Linked DNA regions of Rattus norvegicus. The main gene of each other region encodes a partner of the protein of the gene in region 3 in a complex. Links are inferred from orthologs where the notes say so. Each region holds a gene or a part of one and is shown on either strand. Other genes may lie near its edges.

What was found. Proteins that work in one complex are often made in the same cells at the same time.
Region 1: Snrpd1 (region 3) and Gpkow share a complex: the UniProt entries of both Homo sapiens proteins name them as parts of the minor spliceosome. The link is inferred for Rattus norvegicus from reciprocal best matches to the Homo sapiens genes SNRPD1 and GPKOW.
Region 2: Snrpd1 (region 3) and Lsm3 share a complex: the UniProt entries of both Homo sapiens proteins name them as parts of the U4/U6-U5 tri-snRNP complex. The link is inferred for Rattus norvegicus from reciprocal best matches to the Homo sapiens genes SNRPD1 and LSM3.

The regions. Positions count from the first base shown.
Region 1 is NC_086039.1:17,475,499-17,479,710, forward strand, and holds the start of Gpkow (G-patch domain and KOW motifs-containing protein), read right to left. Parts: upstream 2,801-4,212; 5' UTR 2,706-2,800; coding exon 2,536-2,705; intron 1,417-2,535; coding exon 1,259-1,416; intron 1,156-1,258; coding exon 1,031-1,155; intron 1-1,030. UniProt on the Homo sapiens protein: RNA-binding protein involved in pre-mRNA splicing. As a component of the minor spliceosome, involved in the splicing of U12-type introns in pre-mRNAs.
Region 2 is NC_086022.1:125,576,693-125,580,984, forward strand, and holds the start of Lsm3 (U6 snRNA-associated Sm-like protein LSm3), read left to right. Parts: upstream 1-1,492; 5' UTR 1,493-1,592; coding exon 1,593-1,613; intron 1,614-2,294; coding exon 2,295-2,405; intron 2,406-4,292. Other genes in the region: Xpc (DNA repair protein complementing XP-C cells), read right to left, coding at 1,240-1,333. UniProt on the Homo sapiens protein: Plays a role in pre-mRNA splicing as component of the U4/U6-U5 tri-snRNP complex that is involved in spliceosome assembly, and as component of the precatalytic spliceosome (spliceosome B complex).
Region 3 is NC_086036.1:1,968,157-1,972,560, forward strand, and holds the start of Snrpd1 (small nuclear ribonucleoprotein Sm D1), read left to right. Parts: upstream 1-1,517; 5' UTR 1,518-1,634; coding exon 1,635-1,648; intron 1,649-4,158; coding exon 4,159-4,235; intron 4,236-4,404. UniProt on the Homo sapiens protein: Plays a role in pre-mRNA splicing as a core component of the spliceosomal U1, U2, U4 and U5 small nuclear ribonucleoproteins (snRNPs), the building blocks of the spliceosome.

The sequences.
Region 1 (4,212 bases), on a different chromosome or scaffold from region 3:
CACAAACATTTTATGAATAAAAGCTAAAACACTAGCCAGGCCCATTTAATTACAGCATTCAGAAGGCAGAGTGAGGTGGATCTCTGTGACTTCGAGGCCAGCCTGGTCTACATAAGTGAGTTCAGGACAGCCAGAGGAGCTCTGTTACACAAAGAAACCCTATGTCGAAAAGAAAAAAGAAAAAAAAAAAAAAGCTAAAACATTAAGAAGCTGAGCTCAAACTTTATTTCTACAAACACATTTTCCATCTCATCTGTTGTCATTTCTTCATTCCTTTATCATTACTCGGCACACTGCAAGATGCCTCAGAACTGATTTCCCACAAGGGTGGGTTTCTTGGGTTGTTGCTGCCATTCGGAGTCCCCAGTCTGATCATTCTTCTCTCACTAAATGTTAACTACCCTTCCAGTTCTCACTCCAGTCACTTCTATGTGTGTGTATCCTTACGACCTCTATTCTGGATTAGTCTACTCCCTTCCTGCCCTACCTTCACTTCCTAGTCATTTTTGGTCAGGGCAGACAAAGGGGACCCTGTTCTAACCCTGTCTGCTCAAGACTTCCCCTTAGCTCTCACTCCACTCATAGTAAAAGACAAAAGTCTGCTCTGTGGGTCAGAATGCCCTTTCTAATCTGGCCCCCTCTGCCTTCATCTACTGCCCACTCCCTCCCCATTCATTCCAATCCAGTAATAGGTTTCCTTAGTGCTCCTCAAACACTGCAGGCTAAAATCAGAACAAAGAAAAAAGAAAGAGGAAACAGACAAATGTGGTTCCAAACAGTGTACACCCTCATGGCATTTGTATTTCCTGTCCACTTTGTTGTCTACCTCATTCAGATAATCCCAGCATTCACGTACATTTTTAAACACCCTGCTTTCTGTTTTGTTAATGCTTCTAATAAGGGTGGAAGGAGGAAAGGCTAATTGGCAGGGCTTTGGGACATGCACACACACTTTCCCTGCTATGTGCAAGGAGACTAGGCAGACAGGGTAGAAGGAATAGTGTAGGAGGGAGGCAAAGGGACAGCTCACTGTCTCAGCCTGAGGTTCGCTGTATGTTCCTTCCCCAATGGGAGTACATCCTTTCTGGATCATGGGGATAGTGAGCGTGGGGTCAACACCTGCATTCTCCCTCTCCTCCAGAGACTTCTTGGATTCTAAGGAAGAATGGGAGGGATCAATGAGGCCATACCCTATCCTTCCAACTTCTTCCCCTTCTATCTGCACTAGGGCAGAGCAAAGAGGAAGGTTTTCACTCACCCTCAATGAGTTCCTTCACAGCCTGGGACAACACACCATCTGACGTCAACACGGTGCTTGTTTCTGAGGGCTTAGGGTTCTTGGACAGCAGTTGCCTGCGAGAGCCATTCTGGATCAATGGGATAACCAGCTCCTTTGGAGCTTCTGGAGGGTTCACACTGATGTGGATAGAGAAAAAGGGTTGTAGACATATTAGAAAGTAGAAATATCAGCCGGGTAGTGGTAATGCATGCCTTTAATCCCAGCAGCACTCAGGAGGCAGAAGCAGGAGGATCCCTGAGTTCAAGGCCAGCCTGGTCTACATGGAGAGACCCTGTCTTGACACCCCCTCTAAATAAAGTAAAAATATCAAGAAACAAAGAAAATAAACAATGGCCAGAAAGAAACAAACAAACAAAATAAATATCAATGCCTAGCCCTATGGACCATGTTCCACAGGTTACTATTAAAGGTCCACTCATCTTTTTTGAGACATCTCACGATGCATCCCATGCTGGTCTTATAAACTCTCAGTCAACCTGGTACAACTTCCTAGTGCTGGAAATACAACCAATACAAATGTATCATTTCTCTCCGGGGTCCCAGCTTTAAATGTGTCTTGTGCAAATCATTCTTAGGCCTTAAAGCATAATGACCTACAACTCACCACCTTTAGTCTAGCTTCTTAGTTCCAGGCCCATAAACTGCCGTTTAGAAGTCCCCCACTTAGGCCTCTAGGATCTTCCTTTCTTAATTATACTGATGATGGCCTCCCAAAACTTGACTTTGCCTCATTCTTCAAATCGGAGAAGCACCCACCATTTCAGTTGAGACAGGAAGAATCCTGTCATTCTCCCTCCTTTCCCTTTCTTAAAAGGCACACGACTTTTTCTCTGAGGAATTTATATCTCTGATTCTCAAGCCCCATTTCATCCACATAACAAACCTCCCTCTTCTTGCCCTTATTTTAGTAATTTCTTTGTTTTTTTTTTTTTTTAATATAGGCTCTCAAATTGCCCAGGTTGGCGTTCAATTCTTGATCCTCCTGCGCCAGCCTCCCAGGTCTTGACTTACAGGCATTTGCCGCCACTCCTGGTTACCTCCATAAATTTCCCGAAGCTGTTTCAGGCTTTCCAGGCCACTGTCACCAGCATAAATTTCTCTTACTCTGCCCTCCCGCTTAAGCCCATTTCACCGATTTCTAAAACGTGAAAAGACCCGGCGTTTCACCTTACTCTGCCCTCCCGCTTAAGCCCATTTCACCGATTTCTAAGACGTGAAAAGACCCGGCGTTTCACCTCTGCAGCTCCCTCCCTTCCACAGTCGCCAAGAAATCTTTCTTCTCTGGGGCCTGTCCTTCGCTGTCTCCGAGGTCTGCCAGTCGCCTCCGGACAGATGTGCGAGTGAAACCGAAAGAAATCGGAGCTGTGGACGCGGCAGCCGGTGGCGGACTCTCACGGCCCGCCATCTTGGCTCGAGTCCCAGGCGAGCGCTCTGCCTGCTGGGAAGTTTAACTCTAGTACCTTAAGGGCCGCCCAGGAACGCCAGAATCTATCCCAGAATGCAACGCCTCAAGAACAGGTGCCTTGAAGCCGTGGGAAACAGGAATTAGAGCTTGGGAACTCTTTAAACGTCATAGTAAGGTGCCGTACTAAGCATTCCGGGAAATGTAGTTCTTAGTGGTGTAGTCGCGGTGGAAGATTGATTAGGTTATTCCTGGGTATTAAACCGTTAGGAATTCAGTTCTACCCTCTTCCGACATGTACGCACACGATGTACATACAGGCAAAATATTTATATATACAAAACAAAATAAATAAATCTTGTATTTGACAAGCACATAATTTAATGTGCTTTTCCACAATGTGAATCTTACTGATGTAGAAAGTGTCAATAAGGTGAAAAACCAGGATTGTACCTGGGATGTGGTTCAGTTTGCAGTGCTAATAATTTAACTTAGGGCCTCGTCTAGGGAAGCACTGTACCATTAATCTGTATTCCTTTAATTTCTTTTTTTCTCTCCCATTCCCCAGTTTCTTATGCTTTCTTGTAAAGTGCCTTTGTTACACATAATCTCTATGTTGCACTTTTCTAACCCTTTTGAGCTTTTGGATGAGGCAGTGTCTTCTGGTTTTTGGCATGAAGAGCCAGGACCTTCTGGGTTGAAGCCTCTTTGCTTGACTCAGTTGCTTTTTTCCCCCAGCCAGAGCAGCACAACTGTTCATACTTAGCCCCCATATTTTTTGACCAAGATAACATTACAGATTTTCCATAACAGTGTTATAAATTATCCAAAACAGGAGATGAACATTTGTATAATGTTGCTTCTTTTTAATCACTGAGCCACACCCCTATCCCTGGGTGCGATTCTGTTAATTAAGCATTTTTTCCTTCTAGGATCCAGTTTTGATATCTCATACACTGCAATATAATTGTATGCCTCCTTTGTCTTCTGTAGTCTTTAGTGCTAGTTTTTTAGTCTTTGTCTTTACTGATTTTTCTTTTTTTTCTTTTTTTTTTTTTTTCGGAGCTGGGGACCGAACCCAGGGCCTTGCGCTTGCTAGGCAAGCGCTCTACCACTGAGCTAAATCCCCAACCCCGTCTTTACTGATTTTTAAAAATATAGCTCAGTTATTTTGAAGAACATAACGCCAATAAAGCTTGTTGTGTTAACTTTTCGCTATTAGTCTGAGGTTATAAGTTTGGGACAAGAATTTCAGAGGCAGGGCTAGAGAGATGGCTCAGCAGGGGAGGAAGGGGCCTATTGTACTTTTTCCCCATCAGTGATGGTTTGACGAGTTGCTTTGTTTACGAGGACAACAGCTGTTAGCATTTACTCTAAACTCTGTCCCACAGTTACTTGGCAACAGCTAGGTGTGCCAAACTGACTATAAAAGCGGCTGCTTGCCCCCTCCTCTCTCTCTTGCTCTGTTCTCTTGCTCCTGCTCCCCCTCTCTCCTCATTCCTCTCCCTTC
Region 2 (4,292 bases), on a different chromosome or scaffold from region 3:
CAGGAATGACTACCTTAAGATGATCATGGAGTGTCTAAGACCTGAAGCAGAGAGGAAATTAGCACCAGCAAGAGCCACAAAGAACATTCTAAGCCAAAGAAACACCAAAGGCTGAGCCTCCAGATAAATAAACAGTAAGTCTAAAGAGGAGAAAGATGGTCAGAGAGAACCAGGCATGGTGACATCTGCAATCCCCGTGATCAGGAGGTAAATTAGACTGGAAGATCGACTTCTAGGCCAGCCTGATATTTAAACAGGAAAAAAATCAAAATAAGAGTATCTGGAGAGGAGACAGAGTAGAATTGTGACAACCTCCAAATCTTGTGGGAAACAAGCTAAGAGAGGTAGATGCTATACTTGGAGAGCATAAACCTAAGGAGGTTTTAAGTAAGAAGACAGAGGCATAAGGTTTTGTTGTGGTTCTACATCCATTTGGCTGCTAGATGATGGGGCAGACAGATGAGAGGAAGCCAGAAAAGAAGCAACCTGAAGTTCATTTCCTTAACGATATGGACAAGATCTCTAGCTATAAAATTAAGAGAATTAAGTACAGATTTCGGTGGTTCCAAAGCTGAACTGGACTTGATGCCGAACTGGCAGTTAAGAAGAGATGTGTTCTAACGTGTGTTTTAAAAGGGATGATTTATTGAAATAGAACAACTGGGGGGATGGATATGTTTAAGGGGAAAGATGGATCTTGTTCAAGATCTAGATTAAAAACTCATTCCAGCCAGGGCGTAATGGTGCATGCCGGTTAATCCCAGCACTAGGGAGGCAGAGACAGGCGGATCTCTGAGTTTGAGGCCAACCTGGTCTACAAAGCAAGTTCCAGGACAGCTAGGTCTACACAGAGAAACCCTGTCTGGAAAAACAAAGCAAAAAACAAGAGTAACAGAAAGCGCATCCTAAAAACCCGGAGCTGGAGTTACACTGGATGGCAGTCAGGAACTTGATGAGAGAGATCTCTCACTACAGGTCTCCCTCGGTCCTGGTTTTTGGCATCTCCTGAGATACCAGGCAATTGCGAAGCTTTCTCCAGCTCGGCCTTCAACACTTGCTATGGGGCTGAACTTGGTACTAAAGGTTAACCGAGGGGTTAAGACAGATAGCAGAGGCCCTCGGGGGCTGGAGGGGGGACGCATCGGGCCGTAAAGACCTTGCGGTAGACACAGATCCGCTCCGCCGCCCGCCCCAGCCTCCGCCACCATCGCCTGACATGCTGCAGACTTGGCCTCTCACCCGCATCGCTCTCCTCAGGCCGGGTTGCTTTGTTGTCCTCGGCTTCCTGGCCGCGCTTCCTCCGCTTTCCGCCTGCGGTACGCTTTCGGGCCATGCTAGCCAGAGGCGTTCCTCCGGACAACCACGCAGGACTGCCGAAAGTCTCCGCGTGCCGGCTCCGCCCCGAGGCGTGCCATGCCTGGCCGCACCCCCAGCTCCGGATAGGACCACGCCCTCCAAAAAATCCCGCCCCCATGCAAACTACAAGGGCGCGAAGGGACAAAAATAGTGTAGTTCGCCTTCCAGTGCGTGGCGGCCCAACGTTTCCTAGTGTCTGCTCTCGCGAGAGGTGGAAAGGGCGCAGCGTTTGAAACATGGCGGACGACGTAGATCAGGTAAGTTTGTCCTGGGGCGTCCGAAGAGGAAGTGCTTTCGTTTCTTAGCCGGGCTTGCTTTTTCCACGCTTCCCGTGGAATGGCCCTTTTCTTTTTCCCGAGTTCCCACGGCCTTCCGCAGCCAGGCCTGCTCCTAAAACTTCCGTAGGCCCAGAGTTTCTCAACCCGCCCATCTGCCCATCTCGCTCGTCGTCGCCCTTTCTCTGTAGAATGCAGACGGCTGTGGATATCCCATCTATGGGAGATACGGTCGGGATTCCGACAGAAAGAGTACTGTAGCGGTAGGACACCAGCATAGTAATACGTGTAAGCACCTGGCACGCAGGCAGTGGCTCACTTGGAGTGTGTTACGAGGGGAGGTCAGATAAAAGGTGCAGTTATGTGAGATAGAGAAACTGCTAGAGATGTAGTATATAGAAAACAAGCAAAGACCTGGCACACAGTGTTTCTCTTCAGAGCATGTTGTTTTAAATGTGTTCTTTATTTAAAATGTTCGTTCCACAACTAGAATATAAGTTCCTTAATAGGGATTTATTGGGGCTTAGTGGTTAAGAGCACTTTTGGCTCTTGTAGACAACCCTGGCTGTGTACCAACACCCACATGTTGCTTTCACTGCTTAACAGTGATTGAAACACCACACTACCTCAGTGTTCCATTACTAAGCCTTCTTCTCTCATCAGCAACAGACCACCAATACCGTAGAGGAGCCCCTGGATCTTATAAGACTCAGCTTGGATGAGCGAATTTATGTGAAAATGAGAAATGACCGAGAGCTTCGAGGCAGATTACATGTAAGTCTGTTAAGTTATCTCAAAACCAGATGCTCCCCTGTCATCCCTTCCTACCTCCTTACAGATAAGAACTGCAACATAAACTTATTTTTTTTAATTATACAATGACTTTTGGGAGTTGGAAATTCCTTTATTGGCTTTTAAAATATTTTTTCCTTAACCAGAATGTTTTTTAGAGAGGGATGGGACTCCTGTGAGACCAGAACAAGGCATCTGATTGCCCAGAGCTGGAGTTACAGACAGTTGTGAGCTGCCTGGTGTGGTTGCTAGGAGCCAAACTCAGGTCCTCTGCAGGGATAACCAGTGCTCTTAATTTGAGCATCTCTACAACCCTGTAGAACACTTTTGTTTTCTTCAGCTTTGTCCTCTGTTTATTTAAAATGAATAAACTTCTTTTTGTTTTAGACAAGGTCATACTATGTAACCCAGCTAGCTTCAAACTCAAGATCCTCCTGCCTCTCTCTCCTTAGAACTGGGATTTTAGACATGCACTACCACTCTTGCCATTGTCCTATGTTTTTAAAAGTTATTGGACAGGGTGTTTTGGTTTTCGACATATAAAACTCTCCTTTGACATGAAAAAAACTAAATAGCAGGCCAGAGATCGTTCACCTAGTATGTGGCAAAGCCCCTAGCACTACCAAAAAAAAATTAAACACCATAGAAATCTAAAGGTGAAATTCCATTTTCTCTGCACTATTCAAAGTTGGCTACATAGTCGTCCACATCTTTTCTGCATGTGTATATGCTGTCTGTGTTTGAAGGAGGATCCTAGTGAGGTACGGTGGCATGTGCCCATAATTCCAGTACTTAGATGACTGAGGTAGGAAGGTCATATATTTGAGGCCAGTCTGGACTACATAGTGAAACCTTGTCTGGTATGTACACACCTTTTCCACACGGTTTCTGTGTGGAATGATTATGCAGCTGACACAGTTGCCCAGGATTCTCTATAAGGCTTCGGTCACTTTTTTGTTTTTCCAGCCTTAAAACTGCATTGTGCACTTTTACATATATTGCTTGTGCACATTTATGATGCCTGTGGAATTGGTCCCTTGAAGTAGCATTATTGTGCACTTAGGGTTTTGTCTCTTCTTGTTACTTTCCTCAGAGCTGTTGGTTTACAACGGGAATTGGAATTAAGTCTTTTTAGTTCAGGCTTAGAAATAGCCCCATACTGGCACCCACAGAGCCAGTGTGGGGGACAGTCTCAGTCTTTCTTCTATGAAGAAATTTTTAGTTCTTTCATGAAACCTGAGGATAAAGAACCTCTGTGACTTGGAAGGAAATTGGACTGTTGATCTACAAGCCAGCATTAGGGAAACAGCGGTGCCAGTTTGGTGAGAAACATGGGATGGAGCTAAATTGAAAGGCTCTTCGGCACATGGAATGACCCCAGGCTAGACCATCGCCTTTAGTTTGGAGGTGTCTGAAGCTCTTACCTCTGTAGTAAGTGGCCCAGGTTTCTGTTTCCTCCCTGCTCTCCAGCTGAACATTTTGCTCATTTGTGTAGCTGCCAAGCAGTTCCTTCTCAATGTGGCGCCTGGCTATTTTTAATCTTGATATGAGCAGGCAAAAGCACTTAGCACTTTGTTAGAAGAACATATAAGTGGGTTCTGAACAAGCCCCAGGAGGTTTGCTGTTAGTAAAAGGGATGAACTTTGGAGGTTGCACTAAACACTGTGGTTGCAATCCTTCCTGCCTGAGCCCACAGATGCCAAAGCATGTTAAGCTCTGGACAAGTTATAAATGGGCAAAGTAAAGGTGGGACAGATGATTGGTGGGTAAAGTTTGAGTGCTGAAGTTTAGATCCCTAACACCTGTGGAGACCCCAGAACAAGCTCTTGCGTTCAACTTAAAGACACTACCTTAATACATACGGTGGGG
Region 3 (4,404 bases):
CCTTACCCTTGAAACATACAAAAATATCAAGCTACAAAATAAAAGACAAAAGAAAAATGTGTTTGATATTCATCTAGAGACAATGGCTTTTCTCTTTTGGGGGGACAGGTTTCCTCTATTTGACAATACGTTTTAACTAGATTATAACATTACATGTACAAACATCTGAAAAGAAGAGTGAGCTTAATGAACTATGAGATGTTAGACATTCCTATATTACTGAGGGGGAAAGAGATGGGTTAGAAGGAAGATGACCCCAAGTGGAAAGGGGATTTGTGGGTAAGAGTACCAGTTGCTCAGTATTGGCATTACTGCATTGAGTGATATGCACAAGGTCTCCTTCCTTATAAAGCGCACGTTTTAATGGAGAGAAGCATCTAATTGTTCATGCATATCAATAGAGGACTATAGATTTAAAGAATAAAATAAAATAAAGGACTATAGATTTATCTTGACATTACTAAAATTATTTTGAGTGGAAACTATCAAAATTATCCCTGAGTCACCATGGTCAGCTTCCCAGAATAAAATAGACAAATCACGAGAGAGTTGTCTGAAGCTTTATGACAAGACCTTGGCCTAAGGATGTACCTGACTCTGATTAGCTTGAAATAGACAAGAAATACTCTTAGTTGGGTGAAATCTGGTGATGCATGCTGGCCCCAAACTTGCACCACCATGCCTAGCTCTGAAATAACTTTCACCTGTTTATACCCCACATACCTTCTAACCCTAATCACAAGGACCTATGTGCTTTTCCTGATGCCCAGGCCAATGTATCTGTTGTAAGTCACCCATAAACTGCACACTGCAATTCTGGGCTTCCCTGCCTCCTCCTTTGATCTCATTGACCCGTGGGACCAGTTCCCATACATTGGAACAGGGGCGTTTTGTGACAAAAGCATATTCTATGAAAACAGTATTCTAGATATTGGAGAGCACAGTAAGCAGTTGTATTCCCTTGCTTTCAGACACAACATTCTCCTGAGGACCAAAAATAATACGTTTTAGAATCAAATGATAATAAATTAATATTATCCAAACTTCTTGTGATAGTGGAAATTATTTGCACTATATTTGTAATTATATCAATTGTAGATGTTGTGTTACTAAATTTAACTGTGTGGTTATTGCAAATAAGGAATTGGATTTTTTTAAGTCGAAGGACTTACTATATATAAAATGAAAGGTTTATTTAAAACTCTGTCCAAAGATCTGATTGGCTTAGCTTAGCCAACGAAAGACAACTTGCAGGATTGATTTCCCTGCTTCCAACATGTGGATCCCAAGGATTAGGCTCGGATCTTGGAGGGCTTCTCTCAGAACTTTTCCTCCTTTGACGTGTGAAAGTTCCAGGCCTTCACAACTGGTTTTAATAAATTCATAAGTGGTCTCGGACTCCTGCAGGTGTAGTCCACCAGCCCTTCCGCCCTCCGAAGGCGCAAAGCGCTCCTCCCGTCGCTAGGAGCCGCTGTCGCTCTCCCGGTCGCCGGAAGGCAGCGCGGCTTCCGCGTTCTCGTCGCGCATCCGCAGGTCTCCGCGCGCTCTTCCGGCCATTCATACTCCTAGTCTGTGGGTCTTTGGAGCCTGAATTCCGTGGACAGTTGGACTAGAAGGGAGACTGCGCCGCTAGGATGAAGCTCGTGAGGTGAGGAGGGTTACCTGGCTGGGGGAGAGCGGCGGGTAGAGAGTTTGGGCCAGCTTAGGAGGCCGGGCCGCTGTGCTCCCAGGGAGGCGGGAAAGCCGCGTGCGCGCGGCCTGCTAACGGCCTCCGGCGCCCGGGCCCCGCCGCGCCCTGCTCGTCGCCCAGAACCCTGGGCAAGGGACCGGCGCGTTCAAACCCCCTCCGGTCTTACAGGAATGAAGTGGCCAAGCCGTCTCTGTCCACTTCTCATCCGGCGACTTAAACGGAGCAGTGGTCCCTCCGTTTTCGTGGCGAGTCGGAGCACTTGCAGTGACGAGGATTTAGAAGTAGGATGGTTTTATCTGCAAATAACGACGCCGATTTGCAAGACGTTTTAGATTAAGTTCTCCTTAATTTTGACCGACCAAAGCATGTAACTCGTTAATGTAGGCTTCTGACTCAGGAAAGACAAAGTGTCTCTGGATGGGGCAAAAGGTAACAAGTTAATTTCTCCTGATTGCATAGATTATGTCGGAAGTGGAGCCTAACTAGAGTCTTGTTTGCTGGTTTGATTAATTCCAAACTTACAGACTTGTGGCCAAGTCTGGGGCAGGGTATATAATATCTAAGCCAGTTTTTAGAAATATTTAGTTTCTTGTGTCAAGACCTGTTGTAGTTGACCAGAATGCCTTTGGACACTTTAAAGTGCTTCCCAAGTGCTAGATTACAAGCATACATTTTTCTTGGTTTTGCTCATTAGAAAGTAAATTACTATTTGTGTGTGCTCGTGCACAGGTATGTTATAAGACAATTTTTGGTAATTTGTTTTTGCCTTCCACCAGGGTCTCAGGGATTAAAACTCAGGTCCTCAGCCTTTACAGCAAGTACTTTTTACCTGCTGAGCCAACTTGATGGCCCTGCTCAATATTTTAGTCAATTAATTGATTTTGTTAGTGGTAATGATTGGTTTTGGGGTGAGAGAGTGCGCGAGTGTGCTCCTTGGTTGGCTTGGTGCTCACTGTGTAGACCAGGCTGGCCTTGAATTCACAGAGATCCTCCTGCCTCCGCCTCCCTAGAGCTGTATTAAATGATGCACTACCATGGTTTGATTTAGTTTGGGTTTTGAGATTATATTTATGTGCAGGGTGGAGGGTGCCACAAATTAGGCAGAGGCCGGAGCATCTATGTAAATTCAAGTCCATCCTGATGAATTCCAGGATAGCCAAGGCTACACAGAGAAATCCTGTCTCAAAAAAAAAGAGTTGCATTTATTTATGGGGGAAGTTTGTGTGCACAAAGATGAAAGGACCCGTAGGAGGAGTCGGTTCTCCATTATTGGGATCCTCAGACTTGGCAGCAGCAAGCGTTCACCCTCTGTGCATATATACCGGCTTGCTGTGCTTCTTCCCAACACCCCTCCCCCACCGTTTTTTCTTTTTTTGCATAGATAGAAAATTGGGAGATTGTTAATTGTTACTGGTGAGGGCCTGCATAAATGGGTTTGTAACGGCAGAAAGTTGAAAACATCATTCACAGTGGGGTAGTTGACATTTCCATATAGTAGATTACTATCTAGCTCTTGGAATATTTATTTTTAGGGAATTATCCCCAGTGTAAACTGCTAAATAAGCTCCAAGTACTATTGATGCCATTAAAGAATAGCCTACTTTGTGTAAAGTAGAATCTTACATGTATGCTTGTGGGTTAGAATAATATCCCTGTTTACCAAAATGCAGGAAAAGAGAAGTTCTTTATTTCTACCATGTAATCTTATGCTATCAATTAGAATTCTATTTCCTTTTTGTGTCTGAAAATTAGTCTAGGGTCTTTTGTTTGTTGAGACAATTTCACTGTCACTATGTAAAACAGGCTGGCCTCCAATTCACAGAGACCCATTTGTCTGTCTAGCAAGCACTGGAATTAAAGGATGCACCACCACTCCCAGTGCTACTCCAGGATCTTGAGATATCTTCATTTAAGGTTGTTTTGTAATAGTCTCTTTCTAGTATTCTCTAGTCGGAAGCTCAGGACAGCCCAAGTTTACAGACTCGGGTGAAAGCTTATTTGAGTGCTCTGCAGCCTGTGAGCTGCAGGTGGACCCAGTAACGTCCAAAGATGCCAGAGGAAAGTTTATTGCTTCATTCTTTTATAAGTTTATGAGTTTGGTTCAGAAAAAGTTAAGCACTGTGTATTTATTATGAAGAATTATTTTTAAGATGTTTATTTTATGTGTGAATGTTTTATCTGCATGTATGCATCACAAATTTGCCTGGTGCCTAAGGTCAGCGTAGGCCTCCAGATCCTCTGGGAGCAAAGATAACAAATGTTTGTGAGCTTTCGTGTGAGTTCTGGGACTCAAACTGGGTCCTCTGCAAGAGAGGGGAGTGCTCTGCACTGCTGGTTAGCTATCCAGACCCCATATGAACTGTTGTGGCATTTTAAAGATTTTGATCTCTAGCATTTTTACTCTACCGACTTCATCAAAAGACTTAAAATGTTAAGGTAAAAAATCAGGACTTTATTTCTTTTTATAGATTTTTGATGAAATTGAGTCATGAAACCGTAACCATTGAATTGAAGAATGGAACGCAAGTCCATGGAACAATCACAGGTGAGAAGACTGTTTCTGAAATGTTTTTGTTTAAGGTTTTTTGTTTGTTGTTTTCTTCCTTGTGTTTGTTTAATGAGCGTTGTTCTTTTTGTTTCATTCTTTTTGTCTGAATTACTGAATGGAACTTAATTAAACCTCATCTTTTTAAAACATTTTATGTACATTAATG